2 linked regions of the Schizosaccharomyces pombe genome follow. The protein of the gene in region 2 purifies or fractionates together with the protein of the main gene of each other region. This does not show direct contact. Each region holds a gene or a part of one and is shown on either strand. Other genes may lie near its edges.

Region 1 (10,978 bases), on a different chromosome or scaffold from region 2:
TGACTTTACTCTTAGTAGTTGGACAGTCCCATTTTATGATTAACAATCTGTTTGAAGGTTTATTTTGGTTCTTTGTCCCTGTTTGCTACGTTGTATGCAACGATGTTTTCGCGTATTTGTGTGGTAAGATGTTTGGCAAGCATCCGCTTATTCAAGTTTCCCCCAAGAAGACTGTCGAAGGTTTTTTAGGAGGATGGATTTGTACTGTAGTTATTGGTTCTCTTATCAGCTATGTTTTAATGCACTTCAAATATTTTATCTGTCCCACTCGTGACTTATCTACTTCTGCTTTCAGTGGTCTCAATTGCACTCCAAATTCTGTATTTCTTCCTCACACTTATACTATTCCAGCTGTTTTTGTCGATACCTTTAGACTTCCTGAAACAATTACTCTTGCTCCTATATATTTCCATTTGGCTATCTTCGCTACCTTTTCGAGTTTAATTGCCCCTTTCGGAGGATTCTTTGCTAGTGGTCTTAAGCGTGCTTTTAAAATTAAGGATTTTGGAGCTTCCATCCCGGGGCATGGTGGTTTAACTGACAGAATGGATTGCCAGTTTTTAAATGGAGTCTTCGTTTATATGTATTTCCAATCATTTATTGCAGAAAAGAGTACATCTGTTGCTGATTTATTGGATACAGCAGTTTATAGCCTCACGACCACTCAGCAAGTGCAACTTGTTGAAGATTTACAAAACTATCTCATCAGTCATGGCAAAACTAGTGTTCAAGCTATTTGTTCCAAACTTCTTCAAAACTCAAAATAGCTTACACTTTGTTATCCTCGTATTTGTTTACTAGCCAGTCTTTTATATTATTAAATGCGTTGTCATGTATAGTTTGACTTCCGTTTGTTAGTCATTCGTTATTGCTTGGAAGTTTTGATATCCCATGTCTAATTTTTAGTCAACTCCAAACTAGATCTAGTCGTTCGTTTGCTTTATATAATTTTCAGTTTTTCACCTTAAAAATTTTGTTTGACATTTTCCGAATTAGTTTTCATCAAAAACTTTTGTCATCAGGTTGGTTAAGTGAGCTAGCTTAATTCGCAAACGCTTAGAAAAGTTGATTATTGGACTAATCTCACGTCGGTTCTACTAAAAAACAGTTTCTTGTCTCAACACATACAGTTTTGTTTACCGCTAAAGAATTTCTTATTTTCAACATATTTGATACTTTCTTTAATATTTTAAATTATGCACAGCAATATATATTTTCATTAAATCACACTGTAGTAAATTCTGGTATATAGACCCACTGTAAAACTCTATTTTCTGAGAGTGGATAAGTACTACTGCATTTAAATAAGGAGCATCAGTAGAACAACGGCATCATAACAAAAAAAAAGATGGAAACAAAACATGCAAACCCCAATTTTTTGGGAAATTTTGTAAAAAAAAAAAGAAAAGAAAAATTGGCATCCCGCAAATACGAATTAAGTTAAATTAAGTATTATGTGCTTTTCATGATTTCCTCTTCAGCAGTTGCTTTTTCCAAATTGTATTGGGACTCATCTGCCATGCTATAACTATCATGAACTTCCTTTTCAACGTCCTTCTTCGTTAACGCATCATTACGCTTGAACTCAAGTTGATTTTGTTCATCTTCCATAGCATCATAGTGGTGGAAGCAAACCCAAAACATAATACCAGCAATAAAGGCAGTGACGGCAATACCAGTGTACATCCAAGTAAGCTTAGGATTGACAGCAGTAGAAGAAATGCAAATAGATAGAATGGCACCGAATGCATTGGTGAACAAGAACAAAGCAGTAATAATGGATTTCATTGAAGGAGGGGCCTTGGTAAATGCAAATTCTAAACCAGTAATACTGGCAAAAATTTCAGAGAAAGCAATCAAAACGTAAGCAGGGATTTGGATCCAAACACTGATGTCATTGGAAACACATGTATCAGTAAAATTTGCATAGCAAGGGCCTCTTTGATAAATCTTTGCTTGTAAAACAGCAGCGTAAATCATGGAAGCAGTAGCAAACATAAACCCTAAAGTAATACGAAGGATGGGTTTGAAAGGGATGTTATACTTACGCAATAATGGATAGATGATATTGTCACAAATGGGAATGAAAATAATCAAGGCGATTGAATCGAAGGCTTGGAAAAGATCGTTAGAGACATTACCCGTTTGCATTTGTCCAGCTTGAGAAATTAAGTTGTTGGTCATTTGACCATAGCATACCCAATAGATAGGGTAAAAGAGAAAAGTTTTGCAGGCGCGTAAGGCACGTTTCAATTCGTCGATAAACAAGTCATCCCACTGATCCTTGAGCGTAACGCGTCCAACAGTAGTAGTGCAAGATGGTTTAGTTTTTTCGAGATTAAATTTGTTTTGAGCAGCAAGGAAGAACACTTGACCAACACGAACAAAGATGGAACCGGAGGGAGGAGTGTGCTTGTAAAAGCGCTTACTAACAGCCAAAATAATTAAGGGGATAACAAAGACGCACAAGGGAAGCAAGTATGCGTAAACAAAACCTTTAGTACTTTCCAAACTAGTGGTGGCTAATACGGAGAGAGAACCGACGTTAATTGACCAGTAGAAAATCATATAGGCACGAGAGGTGGTGACGACGGGGTCAACAATGACCTTGCTACCATTTTTCTTGGTCTTTACATAAGGAGGAATTTTTGGAAGCTGTTCAGCCATCAAGGGGGAAACATTGGATTTGATACCACCGGTTCCAAGACCAATGATGATCAAAGAGACGACAAACCCACCCATACTTTTTCCGGCATCAATGACAGAAGGAATAGCAGTACATGTAAGAATCAAGATACCAATAAAGTAAATGACAGCAGAGCAAACAATGGTATTGTACCTACCAAGGAATTGATCAGCAATAAGTGCAGCGCCAACCGGGGTGACATAACACCAAAATGTGAAGAAATTAGAAAGACCGTCAGCACCGCTTTCGCCTAAATTAAGGGCACCTGGAGTAGCATCCTTAGGACCGAATTGCATATAATTTTGAAAGGGAACAGTGAGACCATAGTAAGCGAAACGTTCGCAAAGCTCGACAATAATGATAATAAAGGCTTTCCAAGGAATAGTACCGCAAACACGAGGAAGGGTGGCTAATTCTTCTTCGGTAGGAGAAGGGTATAAGTCACCATTGACGAGGACGCCGGTGGACATGGATTTTTGGAGTTCATCGGTGGAGGATTGTTCGTCAGCGGTGTTGATGGTGGCAGAACCATCAGCCTTTTTCTCCTTGCTTAAGTAGGATTGATCTTCTGAAATGATGAAATCGGAGTCCGATTTCGTAATTTGTTCTTCAATGCTACTCATTGTAAACACAGGTAAATTGAATGTAGGAAATCGATCGTATGAAAATCAAAAATAATAATAAAAAAGAGAATGAACAGAAGTTTCAAGAACAATTTTTGGGTATAAAATAATTACAATGAAACGAGAAAACAAAAGAGGCGAATATTAAAAAAAAAAAAAGAGGAAGAGAAAAATAACGTAAACAAGCGAAAGATTAAAAAACAATTGTAGTACAAAAGATAAAAAAAAGAATAGATCAAAAATAATAATAATAATAATTAGTCAAACTAATTACACAAAATTGACAAGTGAATTCACAAAAAAGTTAAAATAAACACTTTTATATGTGTATCGAAGGCCGACTAACTCAACTAAGAGTAAGAAATATGAAAGTGAGTGAGAGTGAGAAAGGGTATTTAAAACAAGATTAAATATACACAACAACAAATAAGTATTTATGACAATAATAATAAAAAAAGAAAAATTTTTAGAATGAAAAAATTTTTCCTTAATGTATTAAATAAATACTTGGAAATTAAAAGTGTATGTATGTGAAAGTGTGGAGAAAGTCACAACTCCAAACAAAAGAGGTCAAACGATTAATTATACGAACGATGAGGAGTTTCCACTCAAGGTTTTTGAATTTCTCTTACTTCTAAAACACAGACTAGACGGCACGACGAAGGATGTCTTTTGAGGGGATAATTTTCAAGTATAAATACTGCTGAAAATGAAATTTGTCCACACTGATTTAGCAGTCACCACGTGTTCATGCACGCCTTTATCAATGACGGTGAGCAAAGCACGATAGGCGATAGACAAATCGTAAATGTAGGAAACGTGGTATGAAAAAGTTTATTATCTTCCCTACAGATAAATCAAAAAAGAGGGAGGACCGGTCTAGACTGCACATTTTTAATAATTAAGGTCAATGCGTGAAAGGTGGGTTTGATGGTTGATTGGATAAATCAAATGTTATTTCGGACAAAAACGTTAGTGCGGAATATCTATTTGATTAAAAATGCACGAGGAGTAACCATATCGCACAACGTGTGACCTGTTGGAAAAAGGGGTGAAAATTGGTAAATCCGCTGGAAATAGATAAGCTTGGATTTCTTCGTGTGATGCCGTTTTTTTCATCTACTCCACTATCATGCGGAAGGATTGCGCACTTGTTCAGTTGCGTGTTTTTGCTTAACGATAGAAAAAACTCGTGTACCTCCATTTAGGACTTTTGTGCCACCACATCGCATGGTTGAAGTGGAAAGTCGTACTTGACCGAAAAAGTGGGGATGAAATTGGGTACCAAGTGGGGTGCATGGAATTAAATGGTCAAGAGCACAACGTGCAGAGCATATGGAAAAAACGAGTAGCACGTTATAGTGCCAAAAATAGAAGTTTCACTACAGGAGTGAGAATGAGAGTGAGGAGAGGTATAGAAAGAATGTGAGACAATATAGTTAGTATATGTGAAAGTGAGAGTAAAAGGTATAAGTGTTACTATATGAGTATGGATGAGGATGAGGGAAAAGGTAGAAAAGAGATGACTGTCTATGTATTGTCATACATATTGTTATTTACAAACACATCCTCTACGTTTCTTATTCTCTCACGACGACATACAGGTGAACGAAGTTTTTCAATAATTTTAGAGGTTTGAGGGTTGAGTTGTATTCATTGCTTACTTGTAGTTTGCTCATTAATAATAATTACATATTTGTTAGATTCTTAATACTTTGCATATTTATTAAATTTATGTAATCGTTTGATGAGTGTTACATTGTTGTTTTTATTTATTTATTTAACCGTTGAATTCATTCCTTCTTCTCGACATCGGCCTTTACACCACGTTCGCGTGTCTCTTCTCTCTTGTTTCCTTCCCCGGGTATTCCGCGATTAGCGCTGGCGATTCACCAAGGTAAAACTATGTATGCGAATGGTGAGTGGTCTGCTGTAGCACGGTGTGTGCACGAGGAAACAAGGTCTTCTCTTTAAGAACCTCGAACCCGGTAAACATCGTGGGTGGCAGAGATAGTAAAAGCGACTAGTTCGCCTACCCCCACATGAATTGTCGCAAAGATGATGAGGGACGACAACAAGTAGGTAAGGTAAAGTAAAGTAAGAAAGGAAGAATAGTGATAGCATTAATAGTAGTGGGTATAACTGTCACGGAAATGAACATATCACACTCCAAAACGGACTTGTTGGTGTATGAGCAATTTTTCGCACCCATTTTCCCTCATTTTGCCAAATGAAACCATAATGCTGCAAGATTGCTGAAAGTATCGGGAAAGCCTAGTAAGAAATGGTCCAACTCGTTATGCAGCGATACCCTACCCTCCGTCAAGCAAACGAGATGGTTGTGTAAGGCGAGGCACAAGACTTCAAAAAGTATGCAAATTAGCAACAGATAGTATACCCTAAATTCCAAACGATATCTTCTATCACAGAATCAGATTTCTTATAGTAAGTTCATGATAACTTTGAAGAAACTTGAGTTTGATAGCATTAGTAAATAAATCCCCAATAACGAAGGAGTATGCAATGTCACATCGATATCTATGCTTCTAGCATTGCTGATTCTGACTTGACTTTTCTATCTCGTCGTCGGTGCACAAGTTGATACTACTTTGGCAGATGTTTCTCCTTTGAATTTATGAACTTTTAAACAAATTGCTTTTTGTTTCTATGCCCATTCCTTATCAATTGAAAAGGAGAGAGGAGAGAAAAGGAAAAAAAAAATTTGACCTCTTTTTGGTTTTTTGGTTTTTTTTTTTTTTTTTCGCTCTCTAAAACTTATCTACCACACCTCTTCGTCATGTAATTTGAACTATACTTTTCACGTTAAAAACCTTTTCCCCCTTTGATTCCGTCGAAAGTTTCACGGAACCAATGTTTCCAGTGTTTTCATAGAGTTAACAATGCATGTTTACCTACTAGTTGGAAAAAATTCGCAACACTTGTTACTAAGTGCTATAAACTGAACATTGCATTTTTCTATATTTTTTGCATGTTAATTATTTATTTCATTGAGCCGTCCATAATGCTTGTTTTCTTTGCGCCTACTTAACATCAAGTCGTTCTCGTCTTATCAATTGATCCTTCTGCTAATAGATTTTTTAAAGTAACAAACGTCTATAGAGACGCGCATTATGAAGTCCAACAAGTATCGCTAGTTTAATGATAAGTAAGGAAGGGTTTCATTTACGAATTGTCTTCTTTCAAACATAGGTTACTGTTTCCTTCTTTGATATTCGGGTACCTGCATATCACCCATATGTATTTCCTATTTCCGTTGATAAAATGTCATATCACTTAATTTTCTCTTCTCGTCATTTTTTATTCCGACCCTTGTTTTTATCGAACATTCGTTAAATCTATAGATAAACTCCAACGACCGCGTATTGTGTTGGGCAAATTTGCTTAACCCCTTGCTCTGTCTCTTCCGACTTCTTCTTTCCTTCTCTATCCATCCTATCTTACTATCATATCATTGAAATGTCTCGTGTCCGTGTAGGCGAGAATGACGGACGGACATCCTCAGATCAGATATAGAGTCCATCTCTTACGGAATACTTTAATAATGTAATAACGTGTAACTTAATGGTTGTTTACTAGTTATAGCGTGACCTGTCGTACCTTTTTTATTTATCAAAAGTTATTTTGTTTGTTCTAGTCATTATGTGCTGCTATTCATTGAAGCTCTACGATATTGAGGGAACAGGAACGTTGCTGGGCTGAGAGGTCGCATACTTCATGAACGCTCCAAACACCCCCAAGTAGCCTTCATGTCTTAAAAAATATGCATTCATGGTATGGTTGCTCCAATACTGAATGGCATATGTCAACGTGTGCATAGTTTGAACGTGGTTGCGGATGAAGCTGCCGCCAAAGTAGATGTTTTGAACATTGTGCTTTTGCGCGTGCAAATAAGCAATTTGCCCAATGTTGTTGCTAATGGCCAGTAGTAAAGACCTGGAAATATCCTGAGGCGCAAACTCTTCCAACGGTTTTCTTTCACGAAACACTTTTCCAAATGAACTAGCAATAGTGGTGCTTTTTAGTCCAAATCGTTCGTAGCCGATATCCTTTCCATAAATATCTCCTACAAGCATATCCACACTTGTGTTATCTCCTCCCTTGGACAACTCTAACATCTCGTCAAACGAGTTTGCTGGTGTCAACAACGACAACAATCCCCAAAGCGTTCCCCCTCCTAAAGACGAACCACCAATTCGTTCAAACTGTGATGGACCAGTAACCTTAAGAATGCTGACACCCGACCCAATGTTGACAAGCATGTGCGGGTAATGATAGCAATTCAGATGGTTTTGAAATGTTAATTCGCACGTATCCAAGTCCAACACAAAAACTTCTCTTGGTATACACGAAACAAAATAGTTAAGGCCCATAATCAAACATTCCATCTCATCTTCTCTAATAACCTTGATGTCCAATTGTTTAGACATCCTATCGTAGAATTTATATGCCCCACCGCCAGTAGCTATCAATGTAATCTTTTTTTTGTTACAATTCTTAACGTGATTGTCAATTAAGTTCGCCATAAATTGAATACAATCTTCAATCTTTGCTGTTTCAAAAATCATAAACGAAAGCCTACCACCCGTATAGTTTTCGGCTTCAGATATACTTGAAGAAGAAGAACTAGGTGAACTGCTTTCACAAACATAGTACATTACTTTAGCTAACGAACCTCCAATCTAGAAAAGTGTCAGCAATGTCAACGCTTGCAAGTATTGGAAAAACTCTCCTCCGTCCAACTGTTACCGTACATCAACTGCAATATGAGTTACATGTGATTTGTTGTTAGGTAAGGCAATGTCTTTATCGAATTGTCCTTCATTCTCTATGATCCGTGCACCTAATAATTATTAATAAGCGATTTAAATGAATGATTTCTAAACTTCTGCTTACCTGTCAGATTTAACCATACCGAAGGAGGTTGAGATAACTGCCGCTCAACATTTGATATTGTTTCTCTGCTAATTGTACTGAACCTTCCGCATTCTGTTTCACTCATAGTACTTAAAATATAATTGATTAAAGTTGCTTGGTCTTAAACCAATCTTTGATAACCCAAAACACGTATTAAGCCAAATGAACGCAGTTAATCACAGTACTCCCTTTTACTTTCTATCAAAACAACAACAATCTAATAAATGAATAAACCCAGGTTTCCTTTTGGTATTCTAAATGGAAAAATGAGTATATAGAGAAATAGTATAGTCGGGTGATATCACGTGTGGGTACGTTGGGAGCTTGGAGCCATAACTTAGCACTTCATAATGTGCGCGATCTAAGCCTATCTTTAGGTGATTAACAGTAGCAAAAGACAATGCCTTGCTCATAATACTAGCATTACTAATCATACTGTTATAAATTTTCGTTTACAAGAATGTTATTCCTGATTATATAACAACAAATCATCAGATTAGCAATTCAACAAGATTCTGCTTCATCATTTGTAAACTCAAATAAGCAATACCATAAAGTAAATTAGGAAATCTGACTGGTGGAAATGATGCATTTATGGAAAAACTGAAAAAGTAAATATCAAATCTTTTTCCACTAAACATCAAACGTTTTTTAACCGAAATTTTGTTATTATTCATGAAAATCATGTATGAAACATTAAATAAAAGTGCTTAAATACTGTTTTTAAATAGACGGTAAATCCGATCAACTGCCCGTAGTTGTGCTTGAACACCATATGAGCTTGACTGTATGTCTTCGAGATCCTGAAGTAGGTCTTCAGCAACATCCTTAGATAGACCCATATCCATGGACATTATGGCCATCAAGTTAACCTGGAAAACCAAGAGTCCATAACTCATATCATCTAAAGAATTCATTTTCTGTGACCGAACCAAAATACGTTCGGCAGCACGAAGTGATTGTCTAAATCGTTGGCGGCGTTCTGCCCTTGAAAGAGTATCGTTGTTGAAAATGTTGGCCTTTACATACCTGATAATAACATAGCAGAATATAAGACTAGGGGTTATTCCAACTGTTGCAAAGACGAGCTCTTGACTTTTTAATAGTCGATCAATACCACTTAATGCTACCTCGACGTCAACTTTTGTTTTTTGCAATTGAATAAGCAGTGTCCGAACTAGATTCCCCGAAACGGCAGTTCTAATCGGGGTTTTTAAGTCATGTTCATATGCTTGCAAAACGTACGTAAGATCTCCTTGCTGTACTTCTTGTTTCACCAAATCCAAGTTTATACCAGCAGGAGAAGTATCGGATACAAAATCAATCACCATTCTCTGTAAACTTTCCATATCACTTTCTAAACTTTTGGTTTGCAACAAAGTAATTTGCGAGTCAGCCCTGTTAGAGCGGATGGTGTCAAATATTCCTAAAATCGGTTTTTGAATCCAATTAGTGTAGAAATCTACAGCCGTTGAATAAAGATAATCTATCCATAGACGTATGCTGGTTCTGTTTTTTGTAATTATTTGGGTTGACAGCCAAGCGGAAAGTAAAGTAACGAAAATTTTAGGCCAATTTCGTTCTATTGCACTTGGACGAAAATAGGCTTTAGCCTCAAAATATTCATCTGTTGGATGGCTCAGATTATCCAATGTTATTGAAAGAATGTCTGGCAAAGACTCTGAATTGTCAATCTTCTGCCCTTGCAGTTGTGAGAGTCTTTGGATCCATTGGGAAACAACTTGTTTTAAATCAGCTTTTGCTGAAATGCCATTTTTATCACCACTTGATGAAGCAGCATCACTAACTCCTTCACTCATAATTGCACGAGTTAAACATCCAATTTTGCAAGCATGCTCGTCCCTAAGTTGACGAAGTCGCTTTGCATTGCCACGATATTCATGTCGTATGAGAGAAAGTAAACTAGCCTGTGAAATGAAAGCATCACGGGGAAAAAGAAGGACATCCGACTTAGAAACTTTAGGGAACAAATTTTTTTTAGCAAAAATATTAGAGAAATTTTGAAATTGTAGAATTGATTTGATGGAATTTCGACAAATGTGATATAGTCTAGTAGGAAAAGATTGAATTAGGAATAAAACCCTTGAATACCAATTTTTATCGATGCTTTCCCAATAATGAAGGTTATCAGACATAATCATCGCTTCTTCTAACAATTGATCTAGCATTTTTACGTGTAAATGAGCTGAACACCTCCCCAATATTACCCAATACAGATAATCTTTTGGTCCCTTATCTAGCTCCTTCACTTGAGTAATAACATTTTCTAGTTGATAATTTGTCAAGTTTGTTGAATCCAATTGTTGAAATACATGAAATGTTACTGAATTGGAAGTGGTCTCTCCATGCACCGCAGCAAGCTTATTAAAATTTGCATATACATCCTTCAAATGTTTTTGATAAAGTTCCATATTGCCAAACTGTTGTTATTCACCCGTTTTGTTGCAGTCTCAAAAGCAAAAATAAGATATTAGATATAATGACTTCTCTAGATATGCAAACACGCATTCACTATAGTTGAAGAATTATTTGGGCATTTAAAACAAAAAAAAATAGTCAGTTAAAATATATGATATTTGAAATGGGTGTAGTTCTCGGAAAACGTCAAGCACTTTGTATGACCACATTTTTCGTAGGAAACATCATTGGTCTCATTAACCATGCCAACAAATGACTTTACTTTGCTGGTGAAATTAGAAGGAGTGATCTAATT
Region 2 (11,394 bases):
GGTTTTAGCTCGGGATTGGGCTTGAGCTTGGGAAGAAAAACGGATTGCGCTTAAAGAGATTTACGCACATGGAGTACGGATCGAGGGGAAGCGAGGAGAGAGAATGTAAGAATAGGCGAGGCAGGAAAAAGACATGAGAATAAGTAAAAGTTTGGAAGAAGTAGAAACGGAAAGAGGAAAGAAAGAAAGAAAGAAAGAAATTAGAAGATGAAGAAGAAGAAACTGAAAAACATAAAAATAAAATAGACAGATGGGAAAAATATGAAAGAGAGAAATACTTCTTACGGAGACTCAAGCTCATGTCCGAGGGAACAAACATTCCTCATAGTATGCGAAAACTTTCCTTTTCTCTTTTCGTGGAGAAGCAAAATGTTTGCCGACACAAAGGTCACTTGATTTTTCGTGCGCCATTCGTACGAATTCTTTTTTAAATAAAAAATAATTATATTTATTTAAAATAAGAGAAAAAAAAATGAATACCCTGTTGAATTTCTTACACGCCATTTTGTAACCGTTTCATTACATACTATAACGCCTACATATTACAAATGCTCACGTTATACCATGGAAAGCCGACAAACACGGTACAATGTAAATGAACAAGCACAAATGACTCCTGAAATGCAAACAAACCCGTCAGTTAACACCTAGGAATAGTCTCCCATGCAAACGCATTTCGGTTGGCGAACGCTGGTACTTTTTTAATACATTCATTTCACTCCTTTGCAAACACATCATGCCTTGAACCTCCTTACCTATCAGATTTCGCTTTCTTTGTTGATCAACCTCGCAGCATCTCGATATCTTTTTGCGTGGCCACACGCAAGATTTCATTTTTTTTGTCAAAAAGTTTTCCCACATACTGTGTTTGCATGCATAAATCACCTATTCGGATATTATCAATAGTCAAAGTCTCTTAGAAAGGGAAACCGCCCCTCCCCGCGTTACTTTTTTGGAGGCACCTTATTCTAAGCATTATACATGTCCACAATTTCCTAAATAAGCATAGAGCATAAAGTGGTAACCCTTTTCTTCTCAAACAAACGCCCGTCCACATTCTCTCAGTGTCTCTCTGTTGTTGCTGGAAATTGGGTATATGAAAAACAACCATCGCTGCCACTAAACATCGCTATGACAAATGCAGCACAGTTGTAACATGGATAAACAACTAGATATTTCTTATTCCACTCTGGTGATGTCACGACAGGTGCTTTGCGGGGCACGGTTGTTTAGATTGAATCACGGGGGAGGGGTTCCAAGTAAGAAGGACTCCTTTGCAAATGCATTGAGAGAGGATGGGGTATAAGGAAGTTTAGGCACTCTACTCTATCATGAGTAAGTTGCAGCCCCACTTTTTTTTACCAGTTCCAAGTGGGGGATGCGATTCGAGGAAGATGCACCAAGTAGGAGACTGTAGATATAGAAGGGATGGTTCTAAAGTGGGTGAATAAAGTCTACGTGGGGGTGAGAAATCTTTCAAGTTCAGCAAGTTGGTCCCTTGGCAAGGGAGTAGTAGTATATGGATAAATTTCCCCCCACATAGGGTCTCAGAGTAAGTTTGCTCCTCTATTCTTAATAGCTTGTTTATGTCAACAATAGCAAAACAATCAGCCAGAATCAAATAATCAATGAATACAACGTCCATATTGTTCTTATTTAGGAAACAATGTACATAATCAATTTTATTTTTTTTTGAAGGCTATATTTTTTTGTACTATGAACGAAACCATTATTTCTCATAGCAACCTTCGTATCTTATCTCGGGTTTCAAACAAAATCAGTAGCATTGCAAAGGTTCAATGTTTTACGCACAAAGGATTTTTTTTTTCTTTGAGTATCGTTTGTTTATCTAAAATTTTCCCAGGGTAATAGGAAAATTTGTAATACATACAAAGGCAGATCCTTTAATTTTGACTTTTAGTAGCCACTAGCTGTACTTTTAAAAATTTCCTACTGTAAAGACAACCTTTGTCTGATAGTGAATGAAATTGACATTCCAAAAAAAATAAAGCTTTCATCAAATTAATCTTATCATTACGATTACCATCAACTAAAGTATCTACCATTTTGTTCTACTTAAGTTTCGTTCCACATCTGTATAGCACGTGCGTTGATATTTGCTTATTTTGGTTTTTATCGTGTATGCACTTTCCTTTTTTAACATAAATGAAACCTGAAAGCGCATCTCCCGTTATTCTTTAGAAGGTTGCTAATGTCTCCATATTCATTTTCTTATAAGGATCAAATTGCTCATGTAAATATACTCCAAAGTTCAGGAATTTTGCAAGCCTGAATTTAAAATATTAACTAACTAAAATTAAAATTTCTTTTTCCTATAAATTCTATATTTTACTTAACGTGCTGTCTACGGCCATACCTAGGTGAAAACACCAGTTCCCGTCCGATCACTGCAGTTAAGCGTCTGAGGGCCTCGTTAGTACTATGGTTGGAGACAACATGGGAATCCGGGGTGCTGTAGGTTCCTTTTATTTTTTTTCTCATTTTTTAGCTCAGTCATTAACATTGATCATTGCAAAATCCGTAATATTTTTTTCACTTTCCGTTTTTTTTTTTTTTTAAATAATCGAATGCGTCGTTTTACAACCTCTGGTTTGAAGTAGATGCAACAAATTTTAGCGAAACATTTACAACATTCAATGTGATGAGACTTTTTGTTTCGCTGAGAGCAACAACAAATAATACTAAGAATACATTGCAGTACTATGATCAGAATGGATGGTAAATTCCAATAATAATAAATTAGTATGGCTATTAAAGGAAGCATGCAAATTTTAAAACCTAAAATAAAAAAAAAAACCGAAATAAATAATAAAACGATTGGAAACATACTACCACCCCATGTTTCCAAACAACTTCAAATAAAAGTTGGCTAAGCCTTAACTCCTGATCGCCTCATCGTAGTCGGGAGGTGGACCAGTATATTGGAGATTACCCTTCTCATTAAATGTTGTGTTATCGTCGAAAATATCCACCTTTCCACGCGCATCCTCAATTGCATAGGTCGACAATCCAAGAGGATCTTTTGGAATCCAAACTGATGGTGGTGTAGCTTTCAAAGCAGGACTCACATATTGTACATTACGTACACGCACAGGAATATCGTAAAATGAAGGAAGTAATTGTAAAACACGATCGAATCCAGTCAGGATCCTATTAGAAGCAGCAAGGTCAGAAAAATAACTTAAAACGAAACTAGGCATTTTATGTACAGATGAGATATTCGTAATAGCAAAGCCCTCGTCGTCCTTATCTATTTTTTCTTTGGTATTTTCCGAAGTTCTGCTACTTGTTTCTAAGAATTCATCACTTCCAGAAGATGATGACAATTTTTCCAGAATTTCGGGATAAGCACGACCCACGTTCTTCATTTCAGACGTACCCAGGTCCATTGGATATTTAATTTCAGGTCGCTCGGAAACACTTTCGATAGCACTAATTGGAACAGCATCCATCAAAGGTAAAAATTTGTATTTGAAATAAAGATGGCATGCCACCGTAAAACCCAAAAATACGGCTTCGAGTACGGTAGCGCCCCAATTCTTAGCCAAAACAAATAAGCCAATTAAGCAGACTTCTGCTAAGTAAAGACCGACAAATACTTGGAAAAGAGCTCTAGGATAATTTCTGCCCTTTGCGTCAGCGTTATGCCCTAAGACATAAATTAAATTATAGGAATATGCAAAATAAATTAAAACAAATGCTACAGCGGCAAATCCAATTATAATAGGAGCAATGATCGAGTAGCAAATCATGATAGTCACCAACAAAGAATAGACCGGATAAACCGTACCCCAGCTAGGTGCGGAAAGTTGATTCCAGCGATTCCACTTCTTTCGAGGTGTATTATCGAATATGCGCCCTAAAACTTTCGACAAAAGTAATGTTACTATTTGCAATAAAGCTCCTCCAGGAATTGAAAGTCCTTGCAAAAGGAAATATGAAATGTAAAAGTTAGACGCCTTTGGAAGATTACTGGCAAGTAGTGTCATGGAAGATGCTGGTTCTTTAATAACTTGTACAACGGCAGACGTAGCAGCCGATGTCATTGTAGTTACCAAAAAGACTTGAACGACCTGAAATGCGTAATACCAGTTTTGACAATAATTTTCAATCTCTTGAACGGTAAGAGCGCCGCCAAACTTTCCTAAAAACTTGATAAACGGTGGAACAAGCGACATCAAAATGGAGAGAGCAACAGAGGGGAGAATTCCTGTAATGATACCAAGCAATTTTGGAGGCATATGGTCGATAAATTTCAAGAAATGAACCTTTTCAATAAGATAGTTAACGTTGGATATACAACCGACTACTGCAACTGGAAATGCCCAGAAAATAATCATAAGAGTAAGAATAGTATTTGAAATAGTCTTTTTGCCTCTTCTGGTGTACATAGAAAGGTCAAGATTGGACCAAACGATATCTTCTGGAGCAATGCCGACCAAAGCACGACCGAAACGGTATTTTCTAAACTTTTTTGAGTAAAGGAAGGCCTGATAAGCAGTTTGCAAGTCCGTTTGACTACGGAATCTGATAAACACAGAACCAACTTTTTTGCGCTCCTCGAGTGAAGTTTGTAATTTATCGACAACCTCATCCAATTCAGCGATCGTGTCTCTACAGTAGTCAATAGTATCAACCTTTTTTCCAATCAAGAATTTAAGGCGATGAGTTGGACGCTTCTTCACGTAAGCGGTATAATCCAAGGTTGAAGGAAGTGGCTTATGCTTTTTGACAAGCTTATTATGTTTTTTAACAGACTTATTAATAAGGCTGTTAAGAGTACTCTCATACTTGTTTCCAAGGTCACTGCGTTTCTTGACCTTTTTTTCCAGCTTCTTGAGATCACGGACGCATGTAAACTCAGAAGCGTTTGGAAAAAGCTCATGAAGAGTTTCCTCATCGTTTAAAACTGAGTTTGGAAGCTCAGTCAGCAACATCGTAGAGGAAGAAGGAAGATTGTTATAAAGACCTGAAGATTGCATGGCATGTCGAAAAATAACATAATAGCGAAGCTCACGATATATTATGAAAATGGTGAAACCGAAAAACAACCAAGAGAGAAAAACATGGGCATAAAATCGATTATGATTTTTGACGTTTGAGAATGAAAGAATATCAAATCCCTTTTCACCCACACCGTTTGTTGCGTTTACAGGAAGGAGGATGGGGAAAAGAACTAAACAGCCTAGGATACAAAGGGCACCAAATGTGAAGAGATAGCGAATAAAAAAATAACCATCCACACCAGCGTATTGGATAAGATATGTCTCAGAGCGTTTCACAACGTAAGCAAACAAACCAAAAGGGCTAGAGGGGGAAGGCTCTGGTTTCTCTTCTTTTGGTTGAGTATCTATAATACATCTAGGTTGGTAAACGTGTTTCTCGCGAGGACGCAAACATAAAAAAAGACCGATGAAGGCGCAAAAGATAGCAAAATTGAAGACTAACGATGATACGAACGCCGACGTAGAAGAACTGCTGCTGTCGGACATACTGTCAAAAGAGTGTTGCGCTTGACACGATCAGCAGATGGAGAAAGAAAAATGAGAGAATGGTGCGATGTTGAGTTGGGTAGATTTGTGAAAGATACACACAACACCGGAAGTTTTAAAAGAATGATCCAAACCCCCAGTAGAAAACCTTCTTTGTTGTTTAATAAAGCAATTAAAACAATGAAAAGAAAAAATCCTAATGACTTAGAAGGTAGTGGGCGAAAGAAAATTATGCAAGTGATGGTGCATGGACTTTTAATAGTAAATGCTCATCTCCAATTAAAAAGCCTTGAGGTTCTGTTTACATTGGCGATATTGCGCTGGCAAATGCAAAGCCAGAATTAGATATTACCAGCATTTTTCACCTATTCTCCCTTAACACTGTCCAATCTCGTGAATTTGCGTCTCGCAATTTCAGATGTAAACAAATATTGAAACTGCGACGCATACATGTCACTTTGCTATTGTAAAACAGGCAGATCCCACACCCAGGTAAAATAAGAACCGAAGCAAAATTATGATAACGTTAAAAGGATTCATTTAGGAAAGGATAAACATAGTTAGTCACTAGCAAAAGAGAGAAAAACGAAATCATCCTTCTTTCGCACAATAACGAACTCATGCAATTCTTGCTGGTTGTTAAGGACATAGTGAAGTACAAGTGTTAGTGATATAATTCAAATTGAGATAATAATTTCATAAAACACGGACTTTCACTTATGTGACAATCATTCGCTAACTCGGTTTCATGTCACACAAAAAGCCACCATCGACTTAGTCGGGAGTGTAATATTTACACATTGGAACATGTTAAACGACATCGTTAAGCAACAGCGAGTGTCTTTACCGGACTTTTCACCAAAAAAATTTCGCTGCCCTATCTTGTACGCACGCAGAATAAAGCATTTCCAGCCAGTTATTGAACGCGCTAAAGTGTTGTAAAGGTCAATCTCGGATTTCATAAATTTCACCAATAAAGAAAAACCAAATTGCACATCATGTCAACGAAAATGACAGCTGGCTTTACACAGCCTCATATACTTAGTAGGTAATAATGATATGAGAGAGCATGGTGTAAGTAAAAAAAAAAAGGAATTTAGAATTTAATATTCTATGCTTGTAGTATATGTAATCACATACGTATGTGAGCAATCATTTTCTACCTGCAAGTTTTCTAGGTTTAAGGTTTTTTTCTTCGCTTTCTATTCAAATGTGTCATAGTTTCGCACTTACATGTAAACCAACATTTTCGAGCTATATTGTATGCAGCAGAAATGTAAATAGAAATATTTAAACTACACGTTTAAGTGTCAATTATATAAAAAAGAAATGTACAAAATTATTCAAGCAAAAGGTGATTTTTGTTTATTCATGCTATTTTAACCATCGGTTGCTTGGATGAAACATTTTCATTAATACTTGATTTCTTGATGTGACGGACATTCCTCTGTTCTCGTGTGCTTTTGTTCTCGACTATTACTTAACCATACTAGAAAATGATGAGTATTGTCGTTTTACAATATAGACGCAATACTGTAAACAACACCAGTATATAGGTAAACTGAAGATGAGTTGAGAACGAGACTCCTCCAATATAACTTACGTCTCTTTTGCTACGTATTCGTTGCATTTGCTCAAATGCGTTCTTGGAATGTATACGTTTGCGTAAATTAATCAACCCAGTTCGCCCTGAATAATTTCAAAAACTATGCGCAAATAGTTTATTAATAATATCAGATTATCCAACGCATTTGTAGAGCAAGTATTAATCTATGCAAACTCATTTGTGGGATGGAGCTTTTGCGTTGGGGTGTTAGTATATCCATTTTTTCTATCAGCTTTTTATTCTTAGTCAATTTATGCCAATACAAAAGCCAATTTCAAATAAAATGAAAAAAGACGTTTATTCAACTAATTCTGCTTTGGTAACCTAGTATTGTCATTACGAAGTGAAATCAGTTACTCTTCTGTTCTGCGTGTGTCGGTAGGACTGTTACTTACACCTATATCACATTATTACATGTTAAAAAGTATCTTCCAACTTTCATACTCCATTTCATTATCCTCTTATTAAATGAGTAGCCATATTTCCTGACAGCATTGGAGTATTTTCATACACAAATTCCTTTTCTGTTTACATGTAACGAATATTGGGAACAAAGCCAACCTCCAACGCATTTCGTTGACATTAATAGAGAATACAAATTCTTGACTCAGAAATTTTAAGAAATACTTCAAAAAACGATTATTTTTTTGTAGGAGATGCCCTCCTCAGACGTATGTAAAGCTGGTAGTCACAGGCATTCTGGATGGATCCAAAGTCTCAAAAAACCAGGGCCTTTCAACTTGGATGCTCCAGAAAACCCTGAAGAAACTCTTAAGTCTGCCTTTTCTTCTAAAATCTTAATTATTGGTGCTGGTGGTCTAGGATGCGAGATTTTAAAGGATTTAGCATTATCTGGATTTCGAGATTTAAGCGTAATCGACATGGATACTATTGACATTACAAATTTGAATCGACAATTTCTATTTAATGAAAGCAACATTGATGAGCCGAAAGCCAACGTTGCCGCATCAATGATTATGAAACGAATCCCTTCTACGGTAGTAACACCTTTTTATGGGAAAATTCAAGACAAAACAATTGAATTCTATAAGGAGTTTAAACTTATTATATGTGGCCTTGATTCAGTAGAAGCTCGACGGTGGATCAATTCAACTCTCGTGGCCATTGCTAAGACAGGAGATCTTATACCGTTGGTCGATGGCGGCTCAGAGGGCCTTAAGGGTCAAGCCCGAGTAATCATTCCAACGATAACAAGTTGCTATGAATGTTCATTAGACATGCTTACGCCTAAGATTTCGTATCCCATATGTACATTGGCGAATACTCCTCGATTGCCGGAGCATTGCGTCGAATGGGCATATTTACTCGAATGGCCTCGAGTTTTTCTTAATGCTTCAGTTGATAGTTTTTCTAAGCAAGAAGTTTTTGAACCGCTGGATGGAAAAAATTCCAATTTTGAACCAGATAATATCCGACATATTGACTGGCTCGTAAAACGTTCTATCGAACGTGCCAATAAATTTCAAATACCCTCTTCCTCAATCAATCGTTTTTTCGTGCAAGGAATCGTAAAGCGTATCATACCAGCGGTTGCGTCGACAAATGCCATAATTGCCGCGAGCTGTTGTAACGAAGCATTAAAAATTTTGACGGAAAGCAATCCGTTTTTGGATAATTACATGATGTATGTCGGTGAAGATGGAGCGTATACATATACATTTAATTTGGAAAAGAGATCAGATTGTCCTGTTTGCGGCGTATTGTCTGAAGTCTATGATATTTCAGCCTCATCTACCGTTACTTTAAAGGATATTTTAAATCATTATTCTAAATCTTATAATCTACAAAATCCTTCGGTTTCAACAGCTGCAGGAACCCCTCTGTACTTGGCTTCACCTCCAGCTCTTCAAGTTGCGACATCTAAAAATTTATCTCAACCTATATTAAGTATTACGTCGGTTGATGTGAACCTTGTAATTACTGATAAAAATCTTTCTACAAGTTTGTCTGTTCAGTTGAGAGAATGCTAGATTTGATGTTTATCAATCGCTAATAGACTGTGGATATTTTTGTGTAGAATAGCAGTTTCGCTGCATTTCAATATACTTATAAATTGAAAAGAGATATCACTAAAGAGATAGAGAATCTGCTTCACGCTCCTTACTATAATTCCTTGCTTATTTATAGTTATGTCATTTCAACTTTGTTTCAATGTCTTCAGTTTAACGACATCTCAAAAAAAATATATAAGTTGAAAAGATCTTATTTAATTTTAAAAAAAGAAACAATTAAACCAAATCAAAGTTATTCAACTCTAAATTACAAATCTACAACAGACAACAAACACGAAACGTATGCATACAGTTAGGTATTTAGCATATATAAGCATGCAATGTGCAAAGTATATTGCAAAATAGAAAGTAAATCAAATGCTTTAAGTTAATTTTATTTGCCTTTTTTTATGCTATTAATTTTATTGCTACGAGCATTGTCATTGAGTGATAAAAACATGCACTGCCCTTTGTTTAGGCATTTGCGACATTACTTTTCCATAAACAATTATTTTGATTCATGTTGCAAAAACATGACTTTTAACGACCGAATTTTCAAAAATTTTCATCGGAATAAAACAAGCGATATCATTTAGCAATAACATCAACAGAATTAGTATTTGCTCAGCAGCTATTAAATCCGCCTAAATAAAACAAGTTATTACATTTTCAAATAAATAGAAATTAAAAATCGTTCGAAACAAAGCAATAAGTCTTTTTCCCAAAAAAAAAAAAAATCGATAAATAAATTAAAATTTTCATTTTTGTAATTATTTTATTCGTTTACGTAGGTATACAGTAGAAAAACATGATTTTGCTCTCAACGGATATTTGACCGTGGACATACATTATTGACGCTTTTCTTACTACTAAGAGCCGGTTGACATCGACTTTCCATGAATGGAATCCCAATCTCGGAGACGAGAAAAACCGCATGGTTTATTATCAACTTTTCGCATTTATGACACTAAAATTGTTGCTTATGATAACGTAGAGAGGGATTTGTTGCTGCTGATACTCACTGGGGATTTACCGCTATCAATAGAATGGCTCACTAGAAAAACAATTATTTCACTGATCCGCCTGCAATTATAGACATTACTTTATTGATAGGAGTATTAGGAGAAAAAAAAAATATCAGTCCGGAACAGCTTGTATTTGGTTGAATCTGTTAAATAAATAAATATATATATATATATATTACTGCAGATACCGAAGCATGTAAGAAGCGAGCTTTTTTTGTCACAACACACCCGCCATCTGCACGCCTTTCTTAAACATTCACCATTCTCTGCTTGAATTGAGGAGATCAGGGTGCTTTTCTTCATTGCATTAATTGAACGATAGTGCCAATTTACCAAAGTATCAATTAATTCGGGCAAATCATTGACCCCTGGGAATTATCTCTGGAAAGCTTTAACGGTTGCTTGAGATTGGTGATCCTCTTGTATTTATTGTAAAATCTCAACTTTTGGTGTGATTTTACCGTTACTTTCTACCTCATAATTGCATTTGTTTGACATTTATAAGGTATCTTTAGCAAAGTATTTGCGAGTATTGGAAGTACTGTTATCGTCTTACATTCTAGGCTGTATTGGAAGTTGCAAGTGAAAAAGTGTCTTTAAGACGTACATTTTTTGTATATTCTTGATTCATCCTTCATTCCTTACCAACGTTGTCCTTTTGAGGTTTAAGATCTTTCAGCTTGCTTTTGTACTTGGTTTTAATACATTTCCATAGCTATTTAAATACAGAAAAGTTTACAGTTTCATTTCATCGCTTAACTGGGCCCTTTTATTCTCACTGTGTTTTCCCTCTAATGCTTTTAATTTAATTGATTGTTAAACAAACTTTTCTACCTTCAAAGTCTTGTCTGTTTTTTATTTTTATTTTTTTTAAAAAAAATCGCCTACCCCATATTTTCTCACTCATCTTATTCGTTGGGTGTCCCTTAAAAAAACTCATATTTATTACTTTTGAAGACTTTAAAAAAATTAATAATCCATGCCCACCCATAGCCTTAATCAGAAAAGAAGTTTGCTTTATCCTAGTATTGACAACGGGTCGGTCCCAGACTCTTCGTTCCTAAGTCAAAGCTTTAGAGATACTAATGACATTCATCTTCTGTCAGCTCGGTTGGCTTCTGTCGAAGTGGATCCCGAAACTCTTCCTTCAAATTCTCCAGAAACGAACGATGATGTTTCCAATTATGACTATATGTCTATAAGCTCGTACCAACGTGCACATTCTCTAGCCTCCACTT

The links.
Region 1: the proteins of SPOM_SPAC24H6.13 (region 2) and ptr2 purify together in Schizosaccharomyces pombe (co-purification; one study listed by BioGRID). This does not show direct contact.

What each region holds. Positions count from the first base shown.
Region 1 is NC_003423.3:3,404,384-3,415,361, forward strand, and holds ptr2 (PTR family peptide transporter), read right to left. Parts: upstream 3,977-10,978; 5' UTR 3,310-3,976; coding exon 1,453-3,309; 3' UTR 1,192-1,452; downstream 1-1,191. Other genes in the region: bbl1 (phosphatidate cytidylyltransferase), read left to right, coding at 1-767; ptk1 (Fbl-like pantothenate kinase), read right to left, coding at 6,993-8,009, 8,082-8,170, 8,224-8,329; protein Nca2, read right to left, coding at 8,955-10,676. UniProt on the Schizosaccharomyces pombe protein: Uptake of small peptides.
Region 2 is NC_003424.3:454,164-465,557, forward strand, and holds SPOM_SPAC24H6.13 (Ca(2+) transporter), read right to left. Parts: upstream 5,734-11,394; 5' UTR 5,514-5,733; coding exon 2,898-5,513; 3' UTR 2,768-2,897; downstream 1-2,767. Other genes in the region: NEDD8-activating enzyme uba3, read left to right, coding at 7,776-9,110; vsb1 (sulfate transporter), read left to right, coding at 11,136-11,394. UniProt on the Schizosaccharomyces pombe protein: Acts as an osmosensitive calcium-permeable cation channel.